Linked DNA regions of Macaca mulatta. The protein of the gene in region 2 binds, or shares a complex with, the protein of the main gene of each other region. Links are inferred from orthologs where the notes say so. Each region holds a gene or a part of one and is shown on either strand. Other genes may lie near its edges.

Evidence for each region. Proteins that work in one complex are often made in the same cells at the same time.
Region 1: the proteins of TNNT2 (region 2) and TNNC1 are in contact, whole or in part, in a crystal structure (PDB 1J1D), measured with the Homo sapiens proteins. The link is inferred for Macaca mulatta from reciprocal best matches to the Homo sapiens genes TNNT2 and TNNC1. Residues at the interface, in NP_001263274.1 of Homo sapiens: Gln266, Tyr269, Asn272, Val273, Asn276, Arg277, Asp280; in NP_003271.1 of Homo sapiens: Asp99, Phe101, Arg102, Asp105, Ala108, Asp109, Gly110, Tyr111, Arg147, Tyr150, Asp151.
Region 3: the proteins of TNNT2 (region 2) and TNNI3 are in contact, whole or in part, in a crystal structure (PDB 4Y99), measured with the Homo sapiens proteins. The link is inferred for Macaca mulatta from reciprocal best matches to the Homo sapiens genes TNNT2 and TNNI3. Residues at the interface, in NP_001263274.1 of Homo sapiens: Glu214, Lys217, Lys218, Ile221, Leu222, Arg225, Arg226, Lys227, Leu229, Ile231, Asp232, Leu234, Asn235, Glu236, Leu239, Arg240, Ala243, Lys244, Leu246, Trp247, Ile250, Tyr251, Leu253, Glu254, Ala255, Glu256, Lys257, Phe258, Asp259, Leu260; in NP_000354.4 of Homo sapiens: Arg68, Glu71, Lys72, Ala75, Leu76, Arg79, Gln81, Pro82, Leu83, Leu85, Leu88, Gly89, Phe90, Leu93, Gln94, Leu96, Arg98, Leu100, His101, Arg103, Val104, Asp105, Val107, Asp108, Glu109, Glu110, Arg111, Tyr112, Asp113, Ile114.

Annotation. Positions count from the first base shown.
Region 1 is NC_133407.1:115,997,631-116,002,574, reverse strand, and holds TNNC1 (troponin C, slow skeletal and cardiac muscles), read left to right. Parts: upstream 1-1,591; 5' UTR 1,592-1,689; coding exon 1,690-1,713; intron 1,714-3,191; coding exon 3,192-3,222; intron 3,223-3,452; coding exon 3,453-3,599; intron 3,600-3,846; coding exon 3,847-3,961; intron 3,962-4,177; coding exon 4,178-4,314; intron 4,315-4,398; coding exon 4,399-4,430; 3' UTR 4,431-4,605; downstream 4,606-4,944. Other genes in the region: NISCH (nischarin), read right to left, coding at 1-44. UniProt on the Homo sapiens protein: Troponin is the central regulatory protein of striated muscle contraction. Tn consists of three components: Tn-I which is the inhibitor of actomyosin ATPase, Tn-T which contains the binding site for tropomyosin and Tn-C.
Region 2 is NC_133406.1:59,013,376-59,017,817, forward strand, and holds part of TNNT2 (troponin T, cardiac muscle), read right to left. Parts: intron 2,691-4,442; coding exon 2,661-2,690; coding exon of another isoform or gene 2,612-2,660; intron 1,087-2,611; coding exon 1,009-1,086; intron 660-1,008; coding exon 624-659; intron 1-623. UniProt on the Homo sapiens protein: Troponin T is the tropomyosin-binding subunit of troponin, the thin filament regulatory complex which confers calcium-sensitivity to striated muscle actomyosin ATPase activity.
Region 3 is NC_133424.1:67,469,531-67,474,762, forward strand, and holds the start of TNNI3 (troponin I, cardiac muscle), read right to left. Parts: upstream 3,354-5,232; 5' UTR 3,203-3,353; coding exon 3,192-3,202; exon of another isoform or gene 3,172-3,191; intron 2,918-3,171; coding exon 2,905-2,917; intron 2,743-2,904; coding exon 2,659-2,742; intron 2,254-2,658; coding exon 2,212-2,253; intron 1,941-2,211; coding exon 1,809-1,940; intron 1,032-1,808; coding exon 942-1,031; intron 402-941; coding exon 225-401; intron 1-224. Other genes in the region: DNAAF3 (dynein axonemal assembly factor 3), read right to left, coding at 4,382-4,769, 4,853-4,927. UniProt on the Homo sapiens protein: Troponin I is the inhibitory subunit of troponin, the thin filament regulatory complex which confers calcium-sensitivity to striated muscle actomyosin ATPase activity.

The sequences.
Region 1 (4,944 bases), on a different chromosome or scaffold from region 2:
GGCTCGGCTTCCCGCTCGGGCCCGAAGGTGCGCAGCGTCGCCATGTTCGGGTCTCCGCCGCCGCCGCCGCCCGGCGCAGACTGGCAGCAGTAGGGGGCGGGGTCAACGTCCCACCGCCCCCCAGCCCCCGCCGCCCCACGCCCCCGCCGCGCGCTGCGCCGCCATCTTGGCCCCGCCTTCTTCCTGCGCCCTCGCCCCGCCCCTCGTGCGTGATTGACAGGCACCACCCACAGCGCGCGCGTGCGCGGTGCTCGCTTGCGTAATCTCTACCTGCTTGGCGCGGCGGGAGGTACACTGCGCAACCTGCTAGAAACTGAGACCCCTGGTGGTTACAGCTCTGGGCATCGCCCCTCCGTCCTCGGGAAGAGGGGACAGAAGGTCTCGAGCCTTCCGGGCTACACGAAGCAAGTCACTGCTCTTCCTGGCCTCAGTTTACTCCTCCGGATAAAGGAGGCCATAATAGTGCCTCACCTGGCTGTTGAGCTCTTTCTCTTTAGGGCAAGGCGGGTTGGAGGGGAAAACAGGACCTGTGCTTACCGCCGGAGCAGGGCGAGAACGATTCTGGGCCAGTTCTGAACCTCTCCGAGACTCGGAGATCTCTTGTCAGTGGGGCTCCTGGACAACTGAGTGGGTCGGTTCATGCGCGGCCCGGCACGCAGTAGTGCTCGAGGCAGGGAGCGTGTTTATCAAGAGGGATAAACTTGATACGAACTCTGTACGAAGGAGGGTGTAGGTGGATGGAGGGGTGTGTGCCGCCACTGAGCACAAGAACCCCACGGGGTGGCCTGCCAGAGTTTAAAACGAGGGAGACAGATTGACCTGGACCCAGGAACTACAGTGCTAGAATGGGGAACTGAGTCCTAAACCAAGGAAAAATGAGACCTAGAAGAGGGAGGTGGTAACCTAACTAGAGGGTGAGGAGGAAAGGAGCCTGCCACAGATGGGGCATCTGTAGGGGTGCTGTTGAATAACTGACAGCAGCTGACTTAAGCCCGAAGTGAGTACTTCTCCCTGGGCGGATGGGAGGTCTGGGGCAGGCTCCTCTGGCAGAAGGCTCCTGGCCACCCTGTCCTAAGGTGGATCAGTCACTTCCTCCTTCACCAGTTCCACAGCATCGTACTATGAGCTTGATATTCAAGGCTTCTCTTGGCAGGGCCCTGCACTCCCAGCCTCTCCTTGCACGTTGCACCCCCATTCCAGAGAGGTTGAGTTAAAGGCAGGGGTTGCCAAGTCAGTCAGATCTTGGGCAAGTCACCACTCCTCCAGAGCCTCAATTTCCTTATCTGGAAAGTGGTGGTCATGGCACCCGCCTCCCTGGTTGGATGGGAGCCTGAGCTGCTGTGTTGCCCGGGCCTTGCCTAGGGCCCACGACTTCGTAACTCCTGTCCTGCACTGGACTCATGTTTTCATTCATTCCAGAAACCTTTTCAGAGAGTCCCTTGGGGAGTGTGGGGGACAGGAGGGAAAGAAACCTGGTCCTTGTAGCCCTTCATCTGCTTCCTGCCCTGGGCAGAGGACACGGGGACTCAGGCCAGCCTGAGATCACTGGGACCAGAGGAGGGACTGGAGGATACTACATGCAGGGATGGGCTGGGCTGGGTTGGGCTGGGCCAGGAATGCGGTGGGGCAGGGCTATTTAAGTCAAGGGCCGGCTGGCAACCCCAGCAGGCTGTCCTGTGAGCCGCCAGCATGGATGACATCTACAAGGCTGCGGTGAGGGACAGGGCTGGGTAGGGCTGGGGTGGGCAGGCCCACTGGGGGCTCACTCAGCTCAGAATGGGAGGCCAGTAGCCCCAGGGAAGTGGTGGGGACCCAGGAGAAAGCCTACGTGCCTTCAATCCAGGCTGTCACAGGGACAGTGGTTCTGGTGTTTGGGGATGCAGAAGGGATGGGAGTTCAGGTTCTGAAGGGTGGTGGAGGATGTCGCAGCTTTCAGCATCATGTCTCACTCTCTGTTTCCAAGTGTCTGTAGTCTGAGGCACTGTCGCTCAGCCACATGTCTCTGCATTTGTCTCTGGACATTTTTGCCTTTCTCTTTTCATCTCTTCCTCCTGAGCTGTCTGAGTCCCCATTACTGTCTCCCTGTCCCCAACCCCCATTTCTGCCCCTCACATTATGCTTCTCACATGCTCAAAATCTGCTACCCCACTCCAGCCCCTTGACTGGCCGAAGATGCTTTGGGAGGTGGAGGGTGTGAGAGGAGTGGGCTGCAGAGCTTGAGTCCTGGGCTGGAGATGGGGCTTTGAAGTTTGAGGCAGGGAAGTTCTGGACATGAGGGAAAACCAAGGAAGAAGGAACAGAGAACTGGGGCCCCAGCTCCCATCATGCCTGGCAGGCTCAGCGCTCAGTGGCTTAGATAGGGGTGAGAGCGAGGGAACAAGGGCTGGAGAGTGGTCACCCCAAGCCCCTGCAGCCTCCTGGGTCACTGGGGGTCTTCAGATGCTATTCTATCCAGGGGTGGTGGTGACCTCCCCCAACCCCAGAGCAAGGACATCCTGGAATGAACAGCTGTCCCCAGGGGAACCCCTCCCTCAGCCTCCCTTACTCCTGGGCAGGGAAGTGCTACAGCCAGCTCTGGGGGCACGCCTGCTTATCCTGTGGGAATCCATGGAGCTGGAGTGGGGGCAGCCCTCCACCCAGTGCCCATACAAGGCCTGGCGGAGCTGGGGACTAATTTTGGCTCCTGAGGCGGCACTAGCAGGCCAGGGGGCCAGATAACGCTGCCCCACCCCCTGCATGCCAAAGTCCCCAGAACAATCACCAGGTTTAACTTTGTTCCTCATTAAAAATAGCCCAGTGGCCACCCTGGTCAGGTTACAGTGGGTGGCTCGCCTGCCCCCACACTGGTTTTATTGTCCCAACTTGAGGGACAGCTGTCCCTCGGGCCACCCGGCTTGAGTTTCATCAGGGGCTGAAAGGGCATTGAGTGGTCACTGACTATTGTTACTGAGGGTCACCTTGGCCCTGAAGGGGGTGCCCACCTGTCACCCTGGCCCTCAGCCCAGTCTCAGTGAGGCCAGCTGGGTCACATCAGGGCTTTGGGGGCAGGGAGGGAGGACTGAGACCTCCGCCCTGTGGCCTGGAAATAGCCTGCCTCCTCCGGCTCCAGCCTTCTCACCTGTGGAATGGATTGGTTTCCTCAGCAGCAGCTATACCTGAGTCTGAGCCCTGAGAATCCCTTTCCTTTCTAGGTAGAGCAGCTGACAGAAGAGCAGAAAAATGGTGAGAACCCCTATCACACATGTGGGAGACCAGCGGGGCCAGGCTGGCATGGGGACCCCTTACCAGAAGAGGACCTCAGACCAGAGAGCAGAGGCTTGGTCCCTCTTGCTCTGACCTCAGAGAGGTCTCTGAGGGAGGTGGGCAGGTTGGCAGATGGCCCCAGGGTTCTGGCCTTCTGAGGTCCTGGCTGCTGAGCCCCGACTACTATGCCCCCCAACCCCTGAACACAGAGTTCAAGGCAGCCTTTGATATCTTCGTGCTGGGTGCTGAGGATGGCTGCATCAGCACCAAGGAGCTGGGCAAGGTGATGAGGATGCTGGGCCAGAACCCCACCCCTGAGGAGCTGCAGGAGATGATTGACGAGGTGGACGAGGACGGTGAGCCCCCTCCTCCCCAGGCTCCAGAAGAACCCCAGCTGGCTGGGGGCTGGAATGCTGGCTCTGTTTAGCTGGGAGCGGTTTTGCCTATCTGAGCCTCAGTTGCCTCATCTATAAAATGGGCATAATGGCCACAGAAGCCTGGCATTTGGTGTGAGGGTGCGGTGAGAACATGGGGGTTCATGTCGAAGGTGCTGCCTGCAGTACCTACCCCGGCCTCTGTAACGGCCATGCCGCCCACCCCCAGGCAGCGGCACGGTGGACTTTGATGAGTTCCTGGTCATGATGGTTCGGTGCATGAAGGACGACAGCAAAGGGAAATCTGAGGAGGAGCTGTCTGACCTCTTCCGCATGTTTGACAAGTGAGCATGTGACCCTTGACCTCTGACCCTGACCCACACTCAAGCCAAACTGTAGAGGAGGGCGGTCTCAGATTCCAGGCCTAGGGACCCTGCGGCCTCTGCCTGATTGGGGAGAGGGATGCCCCATCTCCCAGTGTCCCTGCTCTGCCTCCTGGGGCATGGGTGGGGCTGCCTTATGCCCTCCCCACAGTCCTACCCTGAGCCCCCTCCCCACAGAAACGCTGATGGCTACATCGACCTGGATGAGCTGAAGATGATGCTGCAGGCTACAGGCGAGACCATCACGGAGGACGACATCGAGGAGCTCATGAAGGACGGAGACAAGAACAACGATGGCCGCATCGACTATGATGGTAAGTGGGTAGGTGGGCTGGTCCCCTGCCTCCATGCCCTGCCCAGCCCCCACCCCCGACCCACACCTGCCCCTCTTTCCACAGAGTTCCTGGAGTTCATGAAGGGTGTGGAGTAGATGCTGACCTTCACCCAGAGCTTCCCATGCCCAGCCTCCAACTCCAGCTGAGTCCTGGGGTTGGGGAGGGGGTTGGGGTCCCAGGACCTGAGCCTGGCCATATCCTCAACCCCAAATCCCCTGACTCCCTCCCCAACTCTGTCCTGGGAGATGCAAATAAAGCGTGCTCCCCGGAGGTCTGCTGTCTGCCTCTGGTGTCCCTGGGCCGGGGACTCTTCCTCAGGACTCACTCTTACCCGATGACTGCTTCCTTCCCTGTCGTAGGCAGGCTGGCTGCAGTGCCTGGTGCCTGACCGCCACTCCACACTGCCTTCTGCGGGGAGTGAGATGAGATCGGAGACTGCTGTGTGGCCTGCCCTGCTGGCTGCCCTCTATCACTCCTCATGCCCAGGCACCATCTCCAGGGATTCAGCATCTGGAGTCTGTGGGGGCCTAGAACCCCTACAAGTTCCTGGGGGCCATCACTTTGGTCAACCACTGTGGCAGCCTAGGGGTTCTCTCCTTGGAGAGAGTG
Region 2 (4,442 bases):
AATTTTGCTTCTTTTGGGCTTCACAGTGGGGAGGATTCCTTTGGAAAGGTCCCCAGGGGTCCTGGCCCTAGAATCCCTTCCCAGGTCTTTGCCTCCTTTGTTACCCCCTGGACTTCCTGGTAGCCACAGGGCAGAAGCTGATGACATGATTCCAAGCCCCAGCTGGTTGTCCCCTCCCCTCTGGAGAAGTGACTGGGACCACCTAGAACCCTGGTGAAGGCTGCAGCATGACGATGACTGCAGCAGTGGCCCACCATGACCATCTATGCATTGGGATTTCATCCTACGGATGCCACATCCTACAAGTGACTTCACCTAAGCTCTAGGAGCTTCATGTGTAGATATGACTTCTGGGTCCCATTGCTCTGTCCAGACCAGGGGGCTGGACAATGGTCCCCTCTCCCACTGGGTGCCACCAATGCAGCTTCTCTGGGAGGAGAAGGGGCAAAGTTTAAAGCTCAACATCTAAAACTTCAGAAGTGCCACCAAGTTCTGTCCTCTCCTCTCCCAAACCCTCTCAGTGTACACCCACTTCCCTGGAAGGAGCACGGTGGGCATTCTCCTCCAAAGCTGCGGGGAGGGGCTCCTTTGCCTCCCTTGTACCTCTCTCCTGATATCCTTACCTTCAGCTTCCTTTGCTTCCTCTTCTTCTCCATCTTCTAAATGAAACACGAGAAATCAATCAAGGTCCTTGTTCTGAGCTCAAGTCCCCCCATCCCACCAAGAGCCTCCCCAACAAATAAGTCCTAGCTAAGATGCACGCTGTTGGTTTTTGGGGTCACAGAGCTGTGTCTCGCACGCACATTCCCCTGGACCCAAGACTCTGCCTGACACAAGAGAAGGGCTGAGTCAACGTTTGTTGACTGGGCAATCAACAGTTGAATCTTAGCCAATAGGAGAATCAGGTGCACATGGGAAAGCCTGTTCTGGGGTTTCTTACTGCCTAGGAATGGCTCCGGGGGCTCTCACCACCCCCTGAGGTCCCTGCACCCTCATCCAGAGACTTACCTTCTGCCCTGGTCTCCTCGGTCTCAGCCTCTGCTTCAGCCCCATCCTCAGCATCCTCTTCTGCTGCCTCCTCCTGCTCTAGAGAAGTGAAGCAGACAGAGTGAAGAAGCAGGCCCCACTCATGCTATCAGGCAGAACCCAGAGCAGAGAACAGGCAGTGGGGAGTGGGGATGGGGGTCAAGACATCCAGGTCCAGACGAATTTGGGGACAACCAACGTGAATGCCAGGGGGCTGCCATTCTTGGTTTTGACTGTCAGCTGCCTCCTCCCACCCAGCTTAGCCCCACTCATCCCAGAGACCTCTCTGATGACAGGACTCCACCTCCTTCCCCAACTTTCCAGCCCAGAAGTTCCACCCCGTGTCTGGCACCACAGAACATGCCCTGCTTAAGCTGAGGTGTCCGGAAGCTCCTGTCCTGAACCTAGTGACTCTAGACACCCTCAATCCACATCTCAAAGAAATCAAAAGAGTATGACTGTGTGGCTGGATGGTGCGCCCAACATCTGGATCTTCATACTATCCAGAAAGTGGACAGGATTTTTCTATTTTTATCCATTTGTTTGGCAGGATGTGGCCCCCATCTCAATCAGGCACTTGGAGTAGACAGACAGACACAGATAAGGGAGACAGGATGCTGCCTGGCCTGGGCTCTGCCTGTAGGAAGTGTTCTGTGATGCCTGTTCACTGATGCACTGGGAAGTGGGTGCCTCTTGGCAGAGGGAGAAGAAAAAGCCTCAGGCAGGAGGAAGACACCATCATGGGAGAAGGGTCGGCCTTCATCCTCTCTGTCCTCCCTTCCCAGGTCTGAGTCCTCTCTGAAGCCTGGAGATGCCTTTTCTTTGATCCCTGCAGGAGTCTTGCCTCAAAATGATCCTTCTAGGTGTGAAAGCAGAGGGCTAGCGAGGAAGGACATGGCCATTGTGGGGTTCACCTTTAGGCCATCCTGTTCACACCTCTGCCACCTCATCTGACATGTCACTTCTCTGTACAATATACCCCACCCCACCCAGTGGCCATGCCACATCCCAAGGATGGGGAGCTTACTATCTCCCCAGCACACCGACTGCATCTTGAGATATCACTGTCAGGACGCACTTTCTAAAATTACGCCCTGGTCTCACTCTCTTGTCTTGGTCCTGTGCTCCCCATCAGCAGGGCGCATCTGAAGGCTGACGTCATGTCCTTCCTGCTCTGGCTATTTCCAGTCTCCCTGGCTGTTCTCCAGAGGACTTTGTCCCCAGACCCCCCAATCAACACCCTGGACACCCTGCCTGGCGCTGTCCAGCTCCTAAGGAGCGTCAAGCACGGAACACTGGGATGTGCGCGGGGGCAGAGTGGCGCTGCTGGCTTCCAGATGCCAGGCCCCCTCTATGGCCACATTTGGAGCAGTTTGGGAGACCAGCCAACCTGGGTCCCTCCCACCGCCCAGCCCAGGGAAAGGATCAGGAACCAGGAAGAGGAGCCAGTGGCCCTGAGGGTCAGGCATGATGAGCAACTCAGAACTGTGATCCTGGTCCCTGGGACGACTGACCCACTCCATCCCTGACCCCAACTCCCACCCCCCAGCCCCCAGAGCAGGGCCCCTGGACAAGCAGGCTGTACTCGGGACAGCAGGCAGCAGAAAGCACCACAGAAGGAAAGGCTGTACTACCGTCTTCATCCTCTCTCCAGTCTTCCTCTTCTGAGGTTCAGGGAGTGGCCGCAGCGGAGGGGAAAAGCGAGACAGGTTAGTCTAGGAGCAGAGAGCCCAGGGCAGGAGCAGCCACCCAGCGCAGTGGTTTTAAGAGTGTGGGCTTTGGAGTTAGGCCGGCGTTCCAATTCCCAAGCCACTACTTTCCAGCAACAGGGGCAACTCTCTTCTCAGTTGCTTCCCTGAGCCTCAGGTGCCTCATCAGTAAAATGGGGATCATTCTGCTCACTTCTCAGCCCTAGTGAGGACTGAATGACCTACCACGCATAGAGCGCCCAGCAGGTGCCTGGCATAGGAGGAGCACGCTATCTGTGGTAACTGCACTGCCTCTAGACGACAGAGCCTCGGCTTCCTTCTTACGAAGACAGAGGCCCCTAAAGAGCGGAGAGTGGGGGATAATTCACTCCCATCAAATTTCCTGCCCTTAACGAGCATGCCCATGTTCCTGCTCTGAATGAGGCTCTTGGGTATTCTGCAAACCATGTCCAGTTTCCAGAAGCCACACTTTAGAAAGGCTCACTGGAGAGCCTGGCCCCAGGGGAGATTTGCCCAGCCTTTTGGGAGGAGGCTGCCCCACCTGAGAAGGGTCCAGCATTATAACCCTAAGGAAAGAGGCTGCATCTACAACAGTTGTTCTATGTACAAATATCTGCCCAAAAAACAGTTCCAGCAAGTGGAACAATTTCTCTCCTGGAAGAAGGACACTTGGCACTATCTATCCTGCAGGCTTAGCGGACACCCATCTAGAGGTTGCTCTCTCTTGATCATTTGCAGCCAGATCCTCAGCTGTGTGGGAGGCGGGTCTCATCTATTCACGGCAAGCAAGGCAGATGCTACATGGCTCAGACCCCAGTGCAGTGGAGAATGACTCTGTTAACTCACAGCCAAATTCTACCGTGTGTGGCAGGCAGATTGGTCCCAAATCCAGAGATCTATGTCACTAACTCCACCACCCCAAACCTGTTACAAGGAAGTGGGAAATCCTCCAAAACAAAGGAAGGGCCACCATATCAAGAGTCTGTTCAGGGAACACAGCAGAATTTGGAACCAGCTAGATTTTTGATTCAAAAATGTATTTCCAATAGCTTCTGAAGTATCTGGTGTTCTTTGAAAACCAAAAAAGATGCCTGTGACCTCTTTCAGTTTCTCCTGTGACTTTCTCTTCTGTCTCCTCTTTGGCCAGACACCCCTGGAACAGCCCTAAATGTGCAGGAGGGTCCCCATTTTCCCTAGGAGCCATGGGGAGCAAAGGAGGGGCCATCTGAGCTCCCCCCTTGGACCTTCATAGAGACCCTTCTCCTAATGTCTACACGCCACAGGCTGAAGTGATACCTGAGCCACTAAAAGGCAGGGTCCACCTGCCTGGGGTGTAGGGGGAGGACTGGCATGAAGCCTCTGAATCACTTCCATGCACCAAGCTCTCAGGAAGAAGGAAAAGTGAGGGCATTCTTTCAGAGAGATGTGGGACCCCCAGCTGAGGAGGGCAAGGGGTTAACCGATCAGAATAGGAGCAGCAAGAGGGGCCTCTGCAAGCTCAGAGTCATAACAAAGCTTCATGCCGAGATAAGACTTCTCAGATCACTGAGCAATTTCATACTCACAATCGCATTTGAGAAATTACTAAATGGAATCTTTCAGGGTGTATCATGGCATTGTGGTTATGTTTTTTTAAGTAGTACTTATCTCTTAGAGATACAGTGTAGCGAAATCTTGAAGCATGAAATGACATGGTGCCTGGGAACA
Region 3 (5,232 bases), on a different chromosome or scaffold from region 2:
GCCCCTGCACCCAGCCCTTCATGCACCTCTTTGCTCTTACATGGACTTCCTGTAGCCCTAATGCACTTCCTGTCTTCCTCTTGCATTTTGGAGGACCCCATACTAGCTAGCTGCTTCTACCCCCAACTTCAAGCACCGTCTGCCCTCCAGCTAGGCCCCAGGGTTGTTGGTACCCACAGCCCTTCCCCTCAGCATTCTCTTTCCTGGCCTTAGCCCACACTCACCTTCTCGGTGTCCTCCTTCTTCACCTGCTTGAGGTGGGCCCGCAGGTCCAGGGACTCCTTAGCCCGGGCCCCCAGCAGTGCCTGCATCATGGCATCTGCAGAGATCCTCACTCTCCGCAGGGTGGGCCGCTTAAACTTGCCCCGAAGGTCAAAGATCTTCTGGGTCAGATCTGCGATCTGGGGGGAGGCAGTATACAGGGGTGTGGATACTCCTGCCTCCATTTCCCCCTCACCCAACTCTTCCACCCTACACTCCTTTTTTATTCTCCTTATCTCATCTTCCAGTACCAAGGCCTCATCCAGTCTCTTCCCAGCTTAGGCTCCCAGTCTAAGCTTCTAATCCTGGAACTGAATCCCCCTCTTCATACGCTCCAGCCTCACCTCACAAAACCACTGGCATAACCTGGTCCAGCTACATGCAAATCACAATTCCCTGGCCAATGCCTGAGCTAATTTACCAACATGTGATGCCCTGAAAATGTTCACTAAGATATTTTCTGTTTCCCAACCCATGGCCTTCCATGTGCTGTTCCCTCTGCCTACAACAGCTTTCCTTGACTATATTGTACTCATCCTTCTGCCCCAGCCCTGCCAGGCTCACAGTTGTCCTGGGTCTCCTGGGATGTGCAGCCAAAAGCAGCTGCAAGGGGTCAGGCAGAGACCAAATACCAGGTATCTCACTACCCCGAAGGTACCCGAGCTGCCCATGCGTCCCACCTCTGTGATGTTCTTGGTGACTTTTGCCTGTATGTCATATCTCTCTTCATCCACCTTGTCCACACGGGCATGGAGCTGTCGGCACAAGTCCTGGAGGAGGAACGTGGTGTGTGTTTTTGGGGGAAGCCTGGAGGCCTGGAGACCTGAACCCCTGGGTCTGAGGGAGGAGGGGCTGGGGGCCTGGACTCCTGGGTCTGAGAGAGGAGGAGTTGGGGGCCTGGACTCCTGGGTCTGAGGGAGGAGGGGCTGGGGCCTGGACTCCTGGGTCTGAGGGAGGAGGGGCTGGGGCCTGGACTCCTGGGTCTGAGGGAGGAGGGGCTGAGGCCCTGGACTCCTGGGTCTGAGGGAGGAGGGGCTGAGGCCCTGGACTCCTGGGTCTGAGGGAGGAGGGGCTGGGGCCTGGACTCCTGGGTCTGAGGGAGGAGGGGCTGGGCCCTGGACTCCTGGGTCTGAGGGAGGAGGGGCTGGGCCCTGGACTCCTGGGTCTGAGGGAGGAGGGGCTGGGGCCTGGACTCCTGGGTCTGAGGGAGGAGGGGCTGGGGCCTGGACTCCTGGGTCTGAGGGAGGAGGGGCTGGGGCCTGGACTCCTGGGTCTGAGGGAGGAGGGGCTGGGGCCTGGACCCTGTCTGGGGTAGGAGGGCCACATGATCCTGAAGGAGTAGGTTGGAGCCAAGACTCCAGAGACCTGCACACAAAGGGTGTTAGGGGCCGGGAGTCCCACGAACCATATAGAATTGGGTAAGGACAGACATATTGGACGCCTGGGTCCCGAGCAGAAGAGGGGACAGAGGCTGTTCTGCTGAATTCCGGGGACTAGAAACCTCGGATCCCAGGCTGGGCAGGAGTACCTGCCTTGGGAGCCGGTACCTGCAGCTCCGCGAAGCCCAGCCCAGCCAACTCCAGCGGCTGGCAGCGCGTGCTCAGAGCGCGCCCCTTCTCTCCGCGCCGCTCCTCCGCCTCTCGCTCCAGCTCCTGCTTTGCAATCTGCAGCAGCAGGGTCTGCGGAGGGGTGGGAGGGAAGCGTAGCCCACCCGGGGCATCAGGAAAAAGACCAGGCGTAGGGAACCCCGTCTGCCCTTCTAAACCCTCGAGTTTCGTCTCCACCTTTCCAAGGCCCCGCCCCACCCGGAGCAGGACTCCCCGATAAAGCCACGCCCCGAGCGGCCAAACCCCCGCCCACTCCCGCCCACCTACCCCGAAAGCCCCACCCACTCTCAAGCTCCGCCCCCTGAGCACGTGCCTGCTCCTTCCCTGGACCTCCCGTGCTCACCTTCAGCTGCAATTTTCTCGAGGCGGAGATCTTAGATTTTTTCTGCCAGGGTGAGATGGAGCAAGGAAGCATCATGGAGGGGGATCCGGAGACGACGGTGGAGGGGACCTCAAGGCACCCCCAGCAACCCCAGCCGGTCCAGATTTGGGCCCACTTCCAACTTGCGCCCTGAGTCTATGACAGGCCACGCCCCTCATTCCCATCCACCAATCCGGGTCTCTGGCTTTGGATAGGCACTTCCCATCTATCCCTAAGGAAATCCAAGGGCAACGGAACTACGCCCACAGGCGGCTGTCACCAATCCGAGTGTGACCCTTTGCAAAACTCCGCCCCTGAAGCCTCTCCGCGTAGTCCCCGCCCCCTTCGTAGCCTTGGCTCCTCCCCCCACTCCTAAGGTCTCGGGTCCTTCCAGCGCCTGTACTCGGCCCCCAGGAAGCCCCTTCCCACCTTGGCGTGTGGCTCCGTGGCGTAAGCGCGGTAGTTGGAGGAGCGGCGTCTGATTGGGGCTGGTGCAGGGCGAGGTTCCCCAGCCTGGGTTTGGAGGAGTGGGGACCCCATCACCACCAAGACCCCACCCAGCCCTTACCGTACCGCACCCTCTGCTAGGGCTGCAGCCTCCCGCCCCAGACCCCTCACTGCAGCGCCCACCCTGGCCCTGGGGGTCCCAGCCACGCCTTAGCCTGCTGCTCTCACCGCATCGCTGCTCCTGGAAGGAGAGAAACCGGGGATGGGGGTTAGTGGTGGGCTGTGTCCTGTCTGTCTCCTAAGGGACCCCCGGAAGCCCCTCTGACCAAGAGGTCGGGGGACACCGCTTCCCCTTCCTCTGGTTCCAGGAGTCTGACTCGCAAACCCGCTTCCTTTCTTCAACCAAGAGCCCCTACCCCTACCTCACAGGCCAGGGGTCCAGCCTCTCAGCTCTGACCCCTCTTGGGAACCTGAGAGGTCGCCCCCAACTCCCACTGCCTTGGGGCATCACTCACTTATCTGCCATGCTGAGACTCAGGCCGGGAATGGCAGGAGGTGAGGACAGGGGCGTTTGGAGGGTCGGTGAGGGGACCGCCTGGGTGACCTTCAGGGTCCCAGGGACCGTCAGTCTCCTCCCGGCTGCTTGAGACTCCCCGAGGACACTGAGATAAAGGGCGAGGACAGAGACTAAATATACTGTCACCTCCTCCTCCCCTGCCCACCATGCGAGATAACGGGGCACGTGAGGGGTGGGGTGGGCCCTGCTCCAGCTGGATCACCAGCCACCTCGGGGCACAGGACTCCGGACCCTCCTCCCTCTGATCCTGGAGTCCTAGACCCCTCCTCCCTCAGACCCACAGAATGCCCAACCTCCCAGCCCCCTCCTTCCTCAGTCCTAGGACCCTGGGAGACCCCAGCCACTCCCTCAGACAAGGAGTCCAGGCCCCCAGCCCCCTCTTCCCTCAGACCCAGGAGTCCAGATCCCCAGCCCCTCCTCCCTCAGACCCAGGAGTCCAGGTCCCCAGCCCCTCCTCCCTCAGACCCAGGAGTCCAGACCCCCAGCCCCTCCTCCCTCAGACCCAGGAGTCCAGGCCCCCAGCCCCTCCTCCCTCAGACCCAGGAGTCCAGACCCCCAGCCCCTCCTCCCTCAGACCCAGCAGTCCAGACCCCAGTCCTGTCCTCCCTAGACCCACTGGTCAAGTCCCGGAAACCCAGGAATCTGGTTTCTGGCTTCCTCTGTCCACCACTCCTGGGTCTTTCTCTCCCAGCCCTGGAGACGGACATAGGACAGGAAAGACACTTGGACACACAGAGAGGTGGACATAACTTGCTTTACTTGAACCATCTGGGTGCTGACCAGGCCCTGGTGAGGAGACACCCCAGCCCCCAGCCAGCCACAGGGTGCCTGGGAACAAGGGGGCCAAAGTCAAGGGCTTGAGACTCAGGGTCCGATCCTAGACTGGGTTCAGGGCCTCAGAAGTGGAATTTGGAATTCTGAGAGAACAATCTAGAATTCTAGAAATAGAATCTCAAAAATAGAATTTGAAATTCTATCAACACTCCCAGGGTGGGGGTGGCGGGTACTGAGTGGGAATGATTAGAATAAAATTGGGGACTCTAGCAGCCAGCTTAGGATGGTATCAGCGGGTTCTCATCCTACAACCTGACTTTGGAAGTTGGAGATAAGGGGTATCTAGGGGTTGGGTCAGACTCCAGTGTTGGAGTGTGACTCACAGTTGGACAGAGCCAAAGCCCCTTGGGGCTGAGCCAGAACCTCTGAGAGTGAACCTGGAGACTCAGAGGGCAGCTGGCAGGGCTCCCAGTGTGGGGTCCCGCCCTCCAGAGGCTGGGTCAGGCCCTCAGGGGCTGGGCTGCTGGCTTCAAGAGGCTGGGCCAGGACGTCAAGGGACGGAGTTCTGGGTTCCACAGCTGGGTCAGTGCTGCCCAGAGCCGAGTCCTGGGACTTGCAGAAACGTGCGAAGGTCTCTGAGGGCCTGGCCCCGGTCTGTGGAGCAAATCCCGCTGCCTGAGCTCGCTCCCCGACCTGGGTGTTGAATCCCTGCAGCTGCTCCTGCCGCACGTCCACCAGGTATCTGCAGATGGGAAGCGCCATGTCAGGGACCCAGATTTTGATCCCCAGCCGGGATGTTCCCCGCCCTCCACCCCACTGGCTCACCGGGCTAATTCCACAATCAGGTTCCCTCCAGGTGCCACACAGGCCCCAAGCTCGGGGCTGAGAAGATGGACCACCCTGCAGTGAGGACCGAGGACAAGCCGAGACTCAGCTGAGGGAGGAGGGGGCTCTGGGAACCCAGACACTGAGGGAGGAGGGGCTGCAACACTGGAGTCTGGGTCCTGGGAAAGAAGGGAGCAGGAGGTCTGGACTCAGGGACCAGGGAGGAGGGGCTGGGTCTGGACTCAGGGACCAGGGAGGAGGGGCTGGGTCTGGACTCCTGGGTCTGAGGGAGGAGGGGCTGGGTCTGGACTCCTGGGTCTGAGGGAGGAGGGGCTGGGGGCCTGGACTCCTGGGTCTGAGGGAGGAGGGGCTGGGGCCTG